Linked DNA regions of Canis lupus familiaris. The protein of the gene in region 3 interacts with the protein of the main gene of each other region in a pairwise test. Links are inferred from orthologs where the notes say so. Each region holds a gene or a part of one and is shown on either strand. Other genes may lie near its edges. The genes, in order: TRIM29, PQBP1 and LZTS2.

Region 1 (3,745 bases), on a different chromosome or scaffold from region 3:
AGTGATCCCGGGGCCCTGGGATTGAGTCCCACATCGGGCTCCCTGCAGGGAGCCTGCTTCTCCCTCTGCCTGTGTCTCTGCCTCTGTCTCTGTCTCTCATGAATAAATAAATAAAATCTTAAAAAAAAAATACAGATATGCAAGAGTGTATATTGCTTGTGGTAGAAGTGAGCACCTGAAGCCACTGCCTTCTTGGCACCAATTTGCCCCCTCCTCATCCCTGACATTTCCAAGAATCCAGGGACTCCATGGCGGAGTTTGAAGACCACCAATCTAGTCCCACACCATAGGGAACCAGGACCGAGAGAACGGAAGGGCCTTGTCCGTGGTCCGACAGCTACCTAGAGGTAAAAACCAATGCTGGAACTCGGTTGGGTGGGAGACCCAGAACACCAGCCTGAGGCTCTGCACTGTTTTGGTTGCACCCAGTGAAGATGATTGCCCCTTGGTTCTGTTTTGGTTTCCCCAGTAAGCTCCGGAAGGATGGGTTCCACGGCCCTGCCCTGTCACTGTGTCCCAGCCTAAGGCTAGAAGCCGGGCTGGGGTTGGGGGTCATCCAGGAAGTGGGAACACCTTCCTGGGCTAAACAAGACTCCCAAAAAGGATCTTTGGGTCTTATCCCACTTGTAACCCATCTCCTTCTGCCCAGAGTGTGGGTGAGGGGCACCATAAGAGAGTAATCAGCCAACTCTCCATCAGGAAGACTGGGCGCAGAGGGGTCCTGGGCTGCCCTATTCAGATGGGTTGAGAAGCTGTTGAGGAAGGCCAAGTGTCCCACAGTGAGCACCAGGAGGTTCGCCCCGGCAGAGGGGTGGGGGTGCCCATGACTGCCAGCTGCGTGGCTGTCGTGGGACATTGGGCCCAGCATCTGTGCAGCAAGGGGCAGCAACCACAGCTGAGCCTTTGGCCCAGAACACCTTCTCCGTGTGCAACACTTTCACAAGTCTCCACACGCCTCTGCTCCTCCCCACGGAGGTACAAGGCAGGATCACACAGGCAGTACTCATGCAAACACACTTGCATATCGCGCGTACAAATGTATGCGCCAAACACCCACATGTATATGAAGCACATACACGTATATGGACAGCCCACCCACCCACAGACAGCAACCCTCCCCAAGTGTGTCCACATACAGGCACAGATGTACACACATGTGACCACACACAGCCCAATGAAAGAAAGGGACGAAGGAGGCCATTGGGGAAGTCAAGGGACTGGCCAGGGGATCAAGTAAGCAACAAGCAGCCACTGTACTGCAAATGCAGACTGTAAAGCCAGGAAAAAAAAAAAAAAAGAGCATTTAAGTGGCCCCCAAATTCCCTCCTCCTCATGCATGATCCCTGCCCCAGCAGGCAGTCCGGCTCAGGTGGTAAGAATTCAGTCTCCCTAGAATTAAAAAGAAGAAGGAGGAGGAGGAGGAGAAACCCTCCAGCCAGACACAGAGCTCAGCACTGAGCCCAGATGGATTCTCGGCTCAGACCTGAATATTTCCTAGGACCCTGGTCAAGCGCCCAGGCATCTCCAGGCCTCCGTTTGCTCATCTAGGCAATGCCCCTGTGTCCTGAGGCCTTAGAGGATTAGGGAACCGCCTCTGACCAGCCCCCCCTCCCCACTCCAGCCTGCGGGTGCAGAGGGGCGAGAAGTGTCTTCTGAAAGAGCCCAGGACAGTGGAGACGCGAGGCCCGCCCCCTCGGGAGCCCCCAGTGGAGAAGATGCCCCCTCGAATTACCTCCTTCTCGGCCTTGGCCTCTTCCACCGTCACCGTGCTGTGATTCTTGTGCTCCTGGAACATGCAGAGGTAGCAGATGCAGGTCTGGTCCGTCTGGCAGAAGAGCTCCATGGTCTTGCCGTGCAGGGGGCACTTGCGGGCCTCGAAGTCTCGGATGGGCTCGAGCAGCTGGTGGTCGCGGAAGGCGGCGCCCTCCAGGTGGGGCTTGAGGTGCAGCTCGCAGAAGGAGGCCTGGCACACCAGGCAGGACTTGACGGCCTTCTGCTTGGTGCCGATGCACGAGTCACACAGCACCTCCTCGGAGCCCGACTTGGGGCGCAGGAGGAGGCCGCCGTCGGCCCGGGGGTAGCTGTTCCTCCGGGCCTCCCCGGGCTCCACTATGGACACGGCGGCCTTTCGGGGCTCCGAGAAGATGGACTTGCGCAGCTCCCCCTTCTCGGCGAAGGAGACGGGCGGCTTCCTGGCGGCCCCCAGCTGGAGCCCGGCGTACGGGGACCTCTTGCCGTCCCCCGAGTCCATGCTGAAGTAGCTGGAGGCCTTGTCGTCCACGGACTCGACGAACTGGATGATGGGGCGCCGCCACTCGTTCCCCGAGAACAGGGAGCTCTTGCCCTCCCCTGGCTTCGGGGCGCCGCCCGGGCTCTTGCCCTCGGCCGCCTCCCCGCAGTGCCCGTTGCTGGTCTTGGCATCTTGGCCTTCGGCCTTGGCCCCGTTCTCCAGGGGCCCGTTGGGGCCCGGCGGGCTGCGCGCATCCCTGGCTTCCCGGCTGGCCCCGTTGCTTCTGGAGGCATCTGCGGCTTCCATGGCCCGTCACTCGGCTGGCGCGCTGGGGACTTGCTGGGGCTGCAGGAGGGTGACCTCTCGGGCTGGCGTCTCCGCGGGGAGTGGGTCAGGTCGCCAGAGCCCGGAGACACACCTATAGGGAACAGGGAGGAGGAGGAGGAGGAGGAGGCCAAGGAGGAGGAGGCGGAGGAGGGGGTGGAGGAGGGGGTGGAGGAGGAGGAGAGGAGGGGAGGGCAGGCCCAAGCCTGACACAACGGGCCGGCCGGGGAGGGCAGGCGGCTCCCAGAGCCAGCAGCGCGGCTAATTATACGGGAGGGCCACGCCCTACGCATTCATACCCAACCTGATTTCTAAAGGACCTGGGTTTTTTTTTTTTCCCCTCTCCTGGTTTAATTATTTTCCACAGCTCAGCAACCAGTCGGCCTGCTTCCTCCTGGCGCACTTTCCTCTCCTGAGGAAGTAGGGGAGCCTCTGTCCTCATGGGTGGGCAGGCTTCGCTGAGCCAAAGGGCCCCTGGGGCAAAAGGTGAGGTGTCTGCAGAGGCCCACGGGACAGAAGGCTATTAATTGGGTCACACAAGCCGAATAGCCTTATAATTTGCAGGCCCGGATTTCAGAGGAGAGATTTCCAACCCTGGGACAAGTGGGGTTCCCTTACAGAGAAAGGTGGGTTCGGTTTGATTTCGGTTGCAGGACGTGCAGTGAAATCGCTACTGATTACTGAACCCCACTTGCCGACTTCCAGGCATTGTCCTACACACGTCACCTACAGGGGGCTCATTTCATCCCCACCACAACCTGTTCGGTTATCCTATTTAACAAATGAGAAAACCGAAGCTCTAACAAGCTGCCTCACTGGCTTCAGTCAAGTAGTAGATTCTGAGATTTGAACCCGAGACCTCTGAGCTGCCAAAGTTCCTTCTTAGGCTTGGATATCACAGAGCCACCCGAATATCTCCGTGGAAGATGCCTTCTAGAAGTCGTGCCTGTCCCAGCAGTCCTAGCGAGATGGCATGTGGCCCTTGGGCCTTTTTTTTTTTAATTGGAGCTTCTTTTTCATATTTTTTTAATAGTTATTTTTTCACCAAGTTTTTTATTTTAATTAAAATTAAATTAAAAGTTAACATACAGTTATATTAGTTTCAGGTGTAGAATTTAGGGATTCAGTGCTTCCATACAACCCCTGGTGCTCATCACAAGTGCCCTCCTTACTCCCCATCTCCTATTCCTG
Region 2 (3,745 bases), on a different chromosome or scaffold from region 3:
CAGTTCCCCAGGCTCACCAGGATGGGTCAAACACTTTGTACCAGCTTGGTGGCAGGCCCTCCAACCGGGTGGCCTCATAGTCCACAGGGTCATCATCGTAGTCCTCAGCAATAATCTCTTCCTCTGGTTCTGGCAGGATAGCAGGGTGGAGGAAAGCAGTAAGGACCAGAGGAATTCTTATCCTGCAGTCAGAGCCTGGAGACACGCTCAGACTCACATGGACCATGTGTGTGCGTGTGCCAGGTCTCACCTTCTATGGCAAATATCACATTCCAAATCCAAGTGTCTGAAGATCAGGGGATTTGCCAAAAAACTTACCTAAATCTGTTCTGTTTCTGGGTTCAGATAAGATTTGAGATTTGATATCCTGTTACCGAAACCTATCTGGTTTCAGATTTTAGACAAGGATTCATCAAAACAAATGTATCCTCCAGTTCCTGAGTTCAGGAAGCATGTGACACCACGCTATCCCAATCTATTTGGATAAAATGAGTTTGAACAGTAAGCGGTTTATCTGAAAAACAAAATGCCCAAATCTATTCAGCTCCCAAGCTTGGTAAATATGGGGTTTCTGATTCTGTATATTGAGTAGCAAGTCTGGATGGGAAAGGATATATCCAAACACTGCTCCGCATCCATTCAGTTCCGAGGCCTGACATACAGCAGGCCTACAACAGCTGTCAGTTACTATCAGTAGAATAAAAGAGATGTATGTTGTCAGCTCGGTACATGACCCTCAGTAGACCTATGACAGATTTTGGCTGTGGACATAACTGACAATGAAATGTATATGTCAGCAACAGCATAGTGCCTGTCACACAATAGGCCCAAAGTGAGTATTAGCTATAATCATCAGAATTGTTAGTAAGAGATATATACCATCAGCACAGGGCCTGGTACTCAACAGGCTTAAAATTAGCAACGACTGTTACCAGTATTATTAACCACAAGATCTATATGCCTGGCACAGAGTAGCTTGTAACAGATGTCATTTATTAATAAGGTGAAAATAAGATGTAATCCAGTGCCTAGCACACTGCAGCCCAAAACAGATGCCAGTTTTTACCATGATCGATAATAAGGTGTAAATATTAGCAGGAACAGCACAGCAGGTAGAAATGATAGATCCTACCATCATTTTCTACCACTATGTGTATGCCAAGCACCTAGACCCAAAATACATGTCAGCAATTGATATGGTGATCAATAAGGTATAGATCACCAACATAGTGCCTGGCCTCACAACACGTCTAAAATAATGTGATCAGTAGCGTAAAGAACCCAGTATCCGCATCCCCCCTACCGTCTAGGGAAAATGTCAGCTCTCCTTACTGTCAGCTACTTTATAATAACTTCCACGGATCGTCTGATGGATTGCGCGTGGCATACAACAGACCCCAAAAAGGCATTAACTGTCAATATTAAGGATGAAACATGTATTCCCCACCCCCACCCCAGCCCGCGGTAGGAATGGATATCAGAAATCCACACCGTTAACAATACACGCCACGCCACTGACTGATGCGCGGTAGGCCCACGCTAGGTATCGAGTGGCGGTATCAACAACGAAGTGCCTGTCAAGCCAGGCACATTGTAGGCCCAACCGCTTTTAGCTCACTCACCGGGCTCCAGATGTTTGAGGATGCCTCTCTTGGCCAAGCGGGTCTGCAATGCAACAGGCAGCGGCATAGCGGATAACAGGCAGACCTAGGGACAGACGGATGAACAGACACGCTCACAAAAAACAACCCAGCTCAAGTGAGGATTCAAATCCCGACCTAAAACCGAGCGCCTCCTCCCGGCATATATCCCTCACTTACCCACCTGCACCAATGGCTGGGTAGACGGAACCTACAGGCTAAAAGATGGAATATAAGTGGCGATGACACCCAAACTCTCACCAACCCTCCCCTCGAGGCTGGGTGTTCCAAGACCCTGTTCCTCGCCCAGGCCCAGGCTCCGCCCACCGCCGAAGGGGCCAAGCTCAGTTCCCCCGCGCTCCCGGAATGAGCTCACCCAACGTCCCCCAAAGACTGCTGGGTGGGAGGAACCAAAGCGCTGGGACGGGGGAGCAAAATGAAGCACCTCTTCCGGCTGCAAAAAATGCGCCCACCCTGACATTACCAATGCAATCACGCGAGCAGTGGAAAGCTGACAGGTCGGCCACCTCTCTCTCGTCCCCGCTAGGATCACGAGAACCACACGACGGCCTTCTCCCAAAACACCAAAAGAGGTCCTCTCTCCCCGACGCTTGAGGTATCTGGGCGACGCACAGGCTGCAGTGGAGATGACGCAAACTCGGTGGCCAATGAGAGCGTGTCCCTGCCCTGATGAGCAGCAACACGACCCAATCGGTGGCCTGGAATAGGTGGACAGCTCGGCGCCTGTGTGCGTTTACAGTGGGGGCGTGGCCTGGCCGGGCTTTAGCCGGACTGCGCGGCCAGACGCCGGCGCCATGGAGGAGTACGCTCGGGAGCCTTGGTACGGCGATGGGCACAGGCCTCGGGACTGTTGCTGCGGCGCCACCGCCAGCTGTGGGAGGCGGGCGGGGGAGGCGCTGGCCACACCGCGCCACGTCCCAGACTCGGGAGACTCTTAGACGTTTGTGGTCTCCTTCCGCTCCCCTCCGCTTCGTTCCTCTCACTCGGGCTCCGTTAAGAGAGGCCGCAGCTGTGAGCCCGGAGAAGGTGCGGTGCAGGGACCAACCACTCAACGTTTCCTCAGACTCCGTATCCCCTCCCCCGTCCCTCTTTGTTGAGGAAAAGAGACACGCTGGTCGAATCCATTCCAGCTTGGGGGGTGGTGCGGGGTCGAGCGGAAATCCCCAGGGTTACCACGCGTGGCTTTTCCCAGGTCGCTTTAGTGGATGGGGGCGGGGCTGGGTGAACCTGTGGCGGACGGACTGGATCCTCCCCACGGCCTGCGCTTGGTTTTTCCCAGTTGTGATCGGTTAAAAGAGAGGGAAGACGGGATTTGGTTGGACGTGCTCATCGTCGGGGACGGAGGTGCGACCCCGTCCTGCTTTAATAACAGTACTAGCAAATTAACACTTTCACAGCGCTGACTTAAAGGTGCTGACTCTGCGTGTCTCATCAGTTCATTTAGTCTTTGATAGTGGTAAAGCAGTTGGCGAATTCCTTGCTTGGCCTCGAAGGAGGGGCGGGCGAGCAAAGACTAATGCTTTTCCCCTTTTGCACCATTTCTTGCTCAGACGAGGGGAGAAATAATCTCATTATTTGAAGTGCTGCTTCCCATTCGGGTGACTTGGTCTCTCCCAATTGGAAAGAATCCGTGCACCATGGCGGGGGAAGAGGGGCTCACTTAACCCACCCTCCCCTTTTGGCTTGCAGCCCATGGCGAATTGTGGACGATTGCGGTGGAGCCTTCACTATGGGTGTCATCGGCGGTGGAGTCTTCCAGGCCATCAAGGGCTTCCGCAATGCCCCTGTCGTGAGTCGTGGCCTTCCCTGGGTAGTGTGGGGGTCCTGCCATGCCCACATGGGATACTGCGATGAACACTGCGTGGAGCTGCCATAACTCGCTCATTACGGTGCGGCTAGCCTACTATGTGCCAGGCCTGACTCCAGGATCTGTGGTTTGGGGTGAACTGCAAACACGGCTCTCTGTCCCTCTCCCTGCACCACCCAGCTGGAGCTCCTCTGTGGAAATGCTGTGCCGTGAAAACGGTCATTACCAAACTCTAAATGTATGCGCAAAGCCAGAGAGATTTTCCCCAGAGACAGAT
Region 3 (3,645 bases):
AATGAGGCCATAAACCTGGGTGTGGGGAGGGGCCACTTGGTCACAAACACAAATAAACAAGACAATTTTGAGTTCTTCCTTTGGTCTGACTACAGCCCCCTCACTCCAGGAGAGAGGCTGCAGAGCTGGAGCCTGGGGATCAGACCCCAGTCCCAGCCCTGTCCCCCGACACGGGCAGGGTGGGGGCAGGCACATCTGAAGCAGCTGGCGCAGTCTGGGTCTCTCTGGCTTTGGGGTAGGGAAGAGTGTGGAAATGAGGGAGATGAGGGAGCCCCCTCCTCTTCCCAGCCCCCTGGCATCCGGGGAGTAATGCTGTTGGCAGACTGGCAATGGCAGTAGAAGTGGGGGTGAAATGGGTCAAGTGAGTAGGAGCCTCAGCGTGACAGTGAAACGGGGACCTTCAAGGAGTTTGATCTCGCCCATCCGGGTCACAGGGCAGCTCCAAGTTCTTGGCAGAGGCCCAGAGGCCTGGAACCCAGGGGACAAGCAGCTCTGGGGCTCTCAGACTTTGGGGACCTCAGCAGACCTGAGGCTCCTGCCCCCACTCCCCTGCAGTAGACCTCCCTCAGATCTGGGAGGCCAAGGGCCCTAGATTTCCGTGGCGGTGATCTCCTCCAGGCAGATGCAGGGGGAAGGCTCGGCCAGGCCCAGGTCAGCAAGCTCCCGGGCCTCCAGCTCCAGGCTGAGCTGCTGTAGCTCCTGCTCCAGCTGCCGGTTGCGCCGGTACATCTGGATGTAGTTGTGCTGCAGCTGCTTCTGGTAGCGGATCACCTGCTCCTTCTCCGCCTGCCAGGCCAGCCGCTCCCCCTCGAAGCTGTCCCGCTGCTCCTCACCCCGCCGCCGCTCTCGCTGCAGCTCTGCCCGCAGCCGCTCCACCTGGGCCCGCAGGCTGCCCCCGACCCCAGCGGCAGCCCGCTGCACCTTGGCCTCATCGCTCTCTGCCAGGAGGAAGGGATCAGCGGTGGCAGGGGGCACGTGAGGTTCCCGGAGCCCGGCCGCCTCGGTGTCCAGCTGGCCGGCTTTCTCTCGGAGCCGCTCGGCCTCCTGGCGGTGCCGCTGCAGCTCCTGGGAACAGGCCTCCAGCTCCAGCTCCCGAGCCCGGGCCGCCTCCTGCAGGCCCCGAGCCCGGCCCTCGCTGACCCGTAGTGCAGCTCGGGCCTCTCGCAGTGCCACCCGCAGGGCCACCAGCTCGCTGCCCTTCTGCACCAGCTCTGCCTGGGATTCCTTCAGCTGCTGCTTCAGCAGGGAGATCTCACCTGACTTCTGGCACACCTAGGGATGGGAGGGGATCAGGAAGGATGGTGAGAAGGGTTCTCCTAGAGGGTCAGGCCCTGAGACCACAAAGGGTATTTGGGGAAAGGCTGTTTGATCATGATACCCATGACGTGGATGGAGACACTGAGACAAGCCTAGTGACATGCCCAAGGTTATATGGCTGATAAGTGGCTGAAGCAAAATACAGACCCAAAGCAGGTGATTTTAAACCATCACAGAGTACTGCAGAGCCCTGGGGACAGGCCAGTGGCAGGTTTTGCAGGACTGGGAGCAATTGAGGGCAGTGCCCACATTTCCCCTGAGACACACCACAGCGTTTTGGTTAAAAGTGCAGACATTGCAGCCACACAGCCTGGGTTCAAATCTCAGCTCTGCCACCGACTAGCTATAATGGTGGGCTCTAGCCTTTCTGGGCCCGGTTCCTCATCTCAAGAAATGGGGCTGTGAACAACAGCCACCACATAGGGCTGTTCTGAGGATCAAAGATCCACTCTAAGTAACAGCTAAAAAGTGCCCGGTGCCTAGCAGGCTCAACATTCTGACTTATTGGTCGGGGGGGTGGAGGGGTTGGCAGTGGATGGGAATGCCACCGGCTCCATGAACACTTGACTCGACCAGTGAGGAAACCTCAAATGGTGGCACAAGGAGATCCTTGCCCAGAAAGGAAGGTCTGAGGGGGACCTTCATCTCACCAAGGTGGATGAGGATGAGGAGGGCCTCTGGGAGTAGCAGGCTGAGGGTAGAGGAAGGCTGGACCCCTGTGCCCGGGGCTTATCCCAATTAGGCCCTGCTCCCTGCCCCTCCTGGCCTGGCCCACCTCCCACTTGGTCTCCTCGAGCCGAGGCCCAAGCTCCCGCTGCTCCCGCTCAAAGGTGGCACAGCGCCGCTCCAGCTGCTCCCGCTCCTGCAGCAGCTGCGCGAAGTCGTCCTGCAGCTGCCGCTTCTCCTGCTGCAGCTGGAACACCTGCAGCTGGAGCAGCTGTTGGGCCCGCTGTGCCCGCTGCGCCTGGGTGAAGCCGTCGTCCCGCAGTGCCTCACGCTCCCGAGGCCAGGGCCGCTGCCGCTCCTCGTACGCCTGGGGACAGAAGGTGGACCTGGGTGCCTCGAGCGAGGCTCTCCCCTCCCCGCCGCCCATGGCTCCCTGGTCACCGACTGCTCTGGTGGCCTGTGGCTGGGTTCGGGGACGGGAGACTCCATTCAACCCTGAGGCTAATTACAGTAGGTCTAGTCACAACCACTGCTAGGATCCTAGAAACAACTTTAAGAGCAAGCACTTCTGTAGGAATTCCTAGGTGCCAGGCGTCATTCTAAGCACTTCAAAGCTTTTACCTTACTTAATCCTAAGAACCCTAGGAGGCCAGAAATCTCCCCATCTACAGCTGAGCAAAGCGAGGCTCGGTACTGTGAGGTGTCTTGCTCGAGTCTGAAAGATGGTACACGGTGGTGCTGGCTCAGACCCCTCACCGCCCTGCAGGTGAAGCCAGACAGCCGGGTCTGGGCCTGCCCACCTGCCCCCCCGCACCCCACAGCACACAGGGAGATGCTCCTTGGGCTCCCAGCTCCGGTGGATGTCCTGCCACGCCACCCCCGTCATCGCTGCTGACCACACCTGGCACACCGTCACCTCACTCTCGTCCAGACTGTCCCGCAGCTGCTGCAGCTCTGCCTCACGGTCGTGGAGCTTTCCTTCCAGGACACAGTGCAGCAGGGCCTCATCCGAAGGGGGGGGAGGGGGCGGAGGAGGGGGTGGGGAGCGCTCCCCACAGGAGCTGCTGTCAGGGGAGGCCCGGGCACCACTGCCCAAGAGCCCCCCAGCCATACGGCCTCCCAGGGAGCCTGTGCTCTTGCTGGAGGAAGATCGGCCACTGTCCGAGTGGGAGGGCCCAGTAGGGGCCCCTCGGGCTGGCCCGGGCAGTGCCCCCCGCCCAGGGCCATGGGAGGGCAGGTGCCCGCCTGGGGAGTGGGTGGCTGGCTCTGCACCCCCGGTGCTGTAGGTGGGCAGGCTGGACAGTGAGTTTCGGCCGGAGTCAGACAGTGTCCCCGACGGGCAGCCGCTGGCCCAGCCACTCAGTGCCAGGGGTTTGTCAGCAGCCGAGGAGGAGGAGGAAGAAGAGGACGAGGCAGGGCCCCCAAACAGCTGTGTTAGGCTGCCCTGGCTCCCAGACAGTCCGGCGGCCCGAGGACCCAGGAAGCTAGGTAGGGATGGTGCCCCTCGAGGTTTGGGTAGCACTGGCTTGAAGGCTGTTGGGCGGATCAGGATTTTCTCCATGTTCTGAAATGAGGTGCCATGTGACACTGGGGATGAGCTGCCCAATCTTTCAAAGCCCTTATCATATTCCCTGCCCTCCCATCTGGGGTCCCCAATCCCCA

The links.
Region 1: the proteins of LZTS2 (region 3) and TRIM29 interact in binary tests that used the Homo sapiens proteins (3 or more experiments, as listed by UniProt). The two-hybrid records come from large-scale screens. The link is inferred for Canis lupus familiaris from reciprocal best matches to the Homo sapiens genes LZTS2 and TRIM29.
Region 2: the proteins of LZTS2 (region 3) and PQBP1 interact in binary tests that used the Homo sapiens proteins (3 or more experiments, as listed by UniProt). The two-hybrid records come from large-scale screens. The link is inferred for Canis lupus familiaris from reciprocal best matches to the Homo sapiens genes LZTS2 and PQBP1.

Annotation. Positions count from the first base shown.
Region 1 is NC_049226.1:13,878,900-13,882,644, reverse strand, and holds the start of TRIM29 (tripartite motif-containing protein 29), read right to left. Parts: upstream 2,688-3,745; 5' UTR 2,537-2,687; coding exon 1,733-2,536; intron 1-1,732.
Region 2 is NC_049260.1:42,260,129-42,263,873, reverse strand, and holds the start of PQBP1 (polyglutamine-binding protein 1), read right to left. Parts: upstream 2,285-3,745; 5' UTR 2,125-2,284; intron 1,859-2,124; 5' UTR 1,825-1,858; exon of another isoform or gene 1,821-1,824; intron 1,708-1,820; 5' UTR 1,690-1,707; coding exon 1,623-1,689; intron 130-1,622; coding exon 18-129; intron 1-17. Other genes in the region: TIMM17B (mitochondrial import inner membrane translocase subunit Tim17-B), read left to right, coding at 2,456-2,481, 3,351-3,450. UniProt on the Homo sapiens protein: Intrinsically disordered protein that acts as a scaffold, and which is involved in different processes, such as pre-mRNA splicing, transcription regulation, innate immunity and neuron development.
Region 3 is NC_049249.1:13,876,516-13,880,160, reverse strand, and holds part of LZTS2 (leucine zipper putative tumor suppressor 2), read right to left. Parts: intron 3,548-3,645; coding exon 2,885-3,547; intron 2,351-2,884; coding exon 2,093-2,350; intron 1,273-2,092; coding exon 589-1,272; 3' UTR 1-588. UniProt on the Homo sapiens protein: Negative regulator of katanin-mediated microtubule severing and release from the centrosome. Required for central spindle formation and the completion of cytokinesis.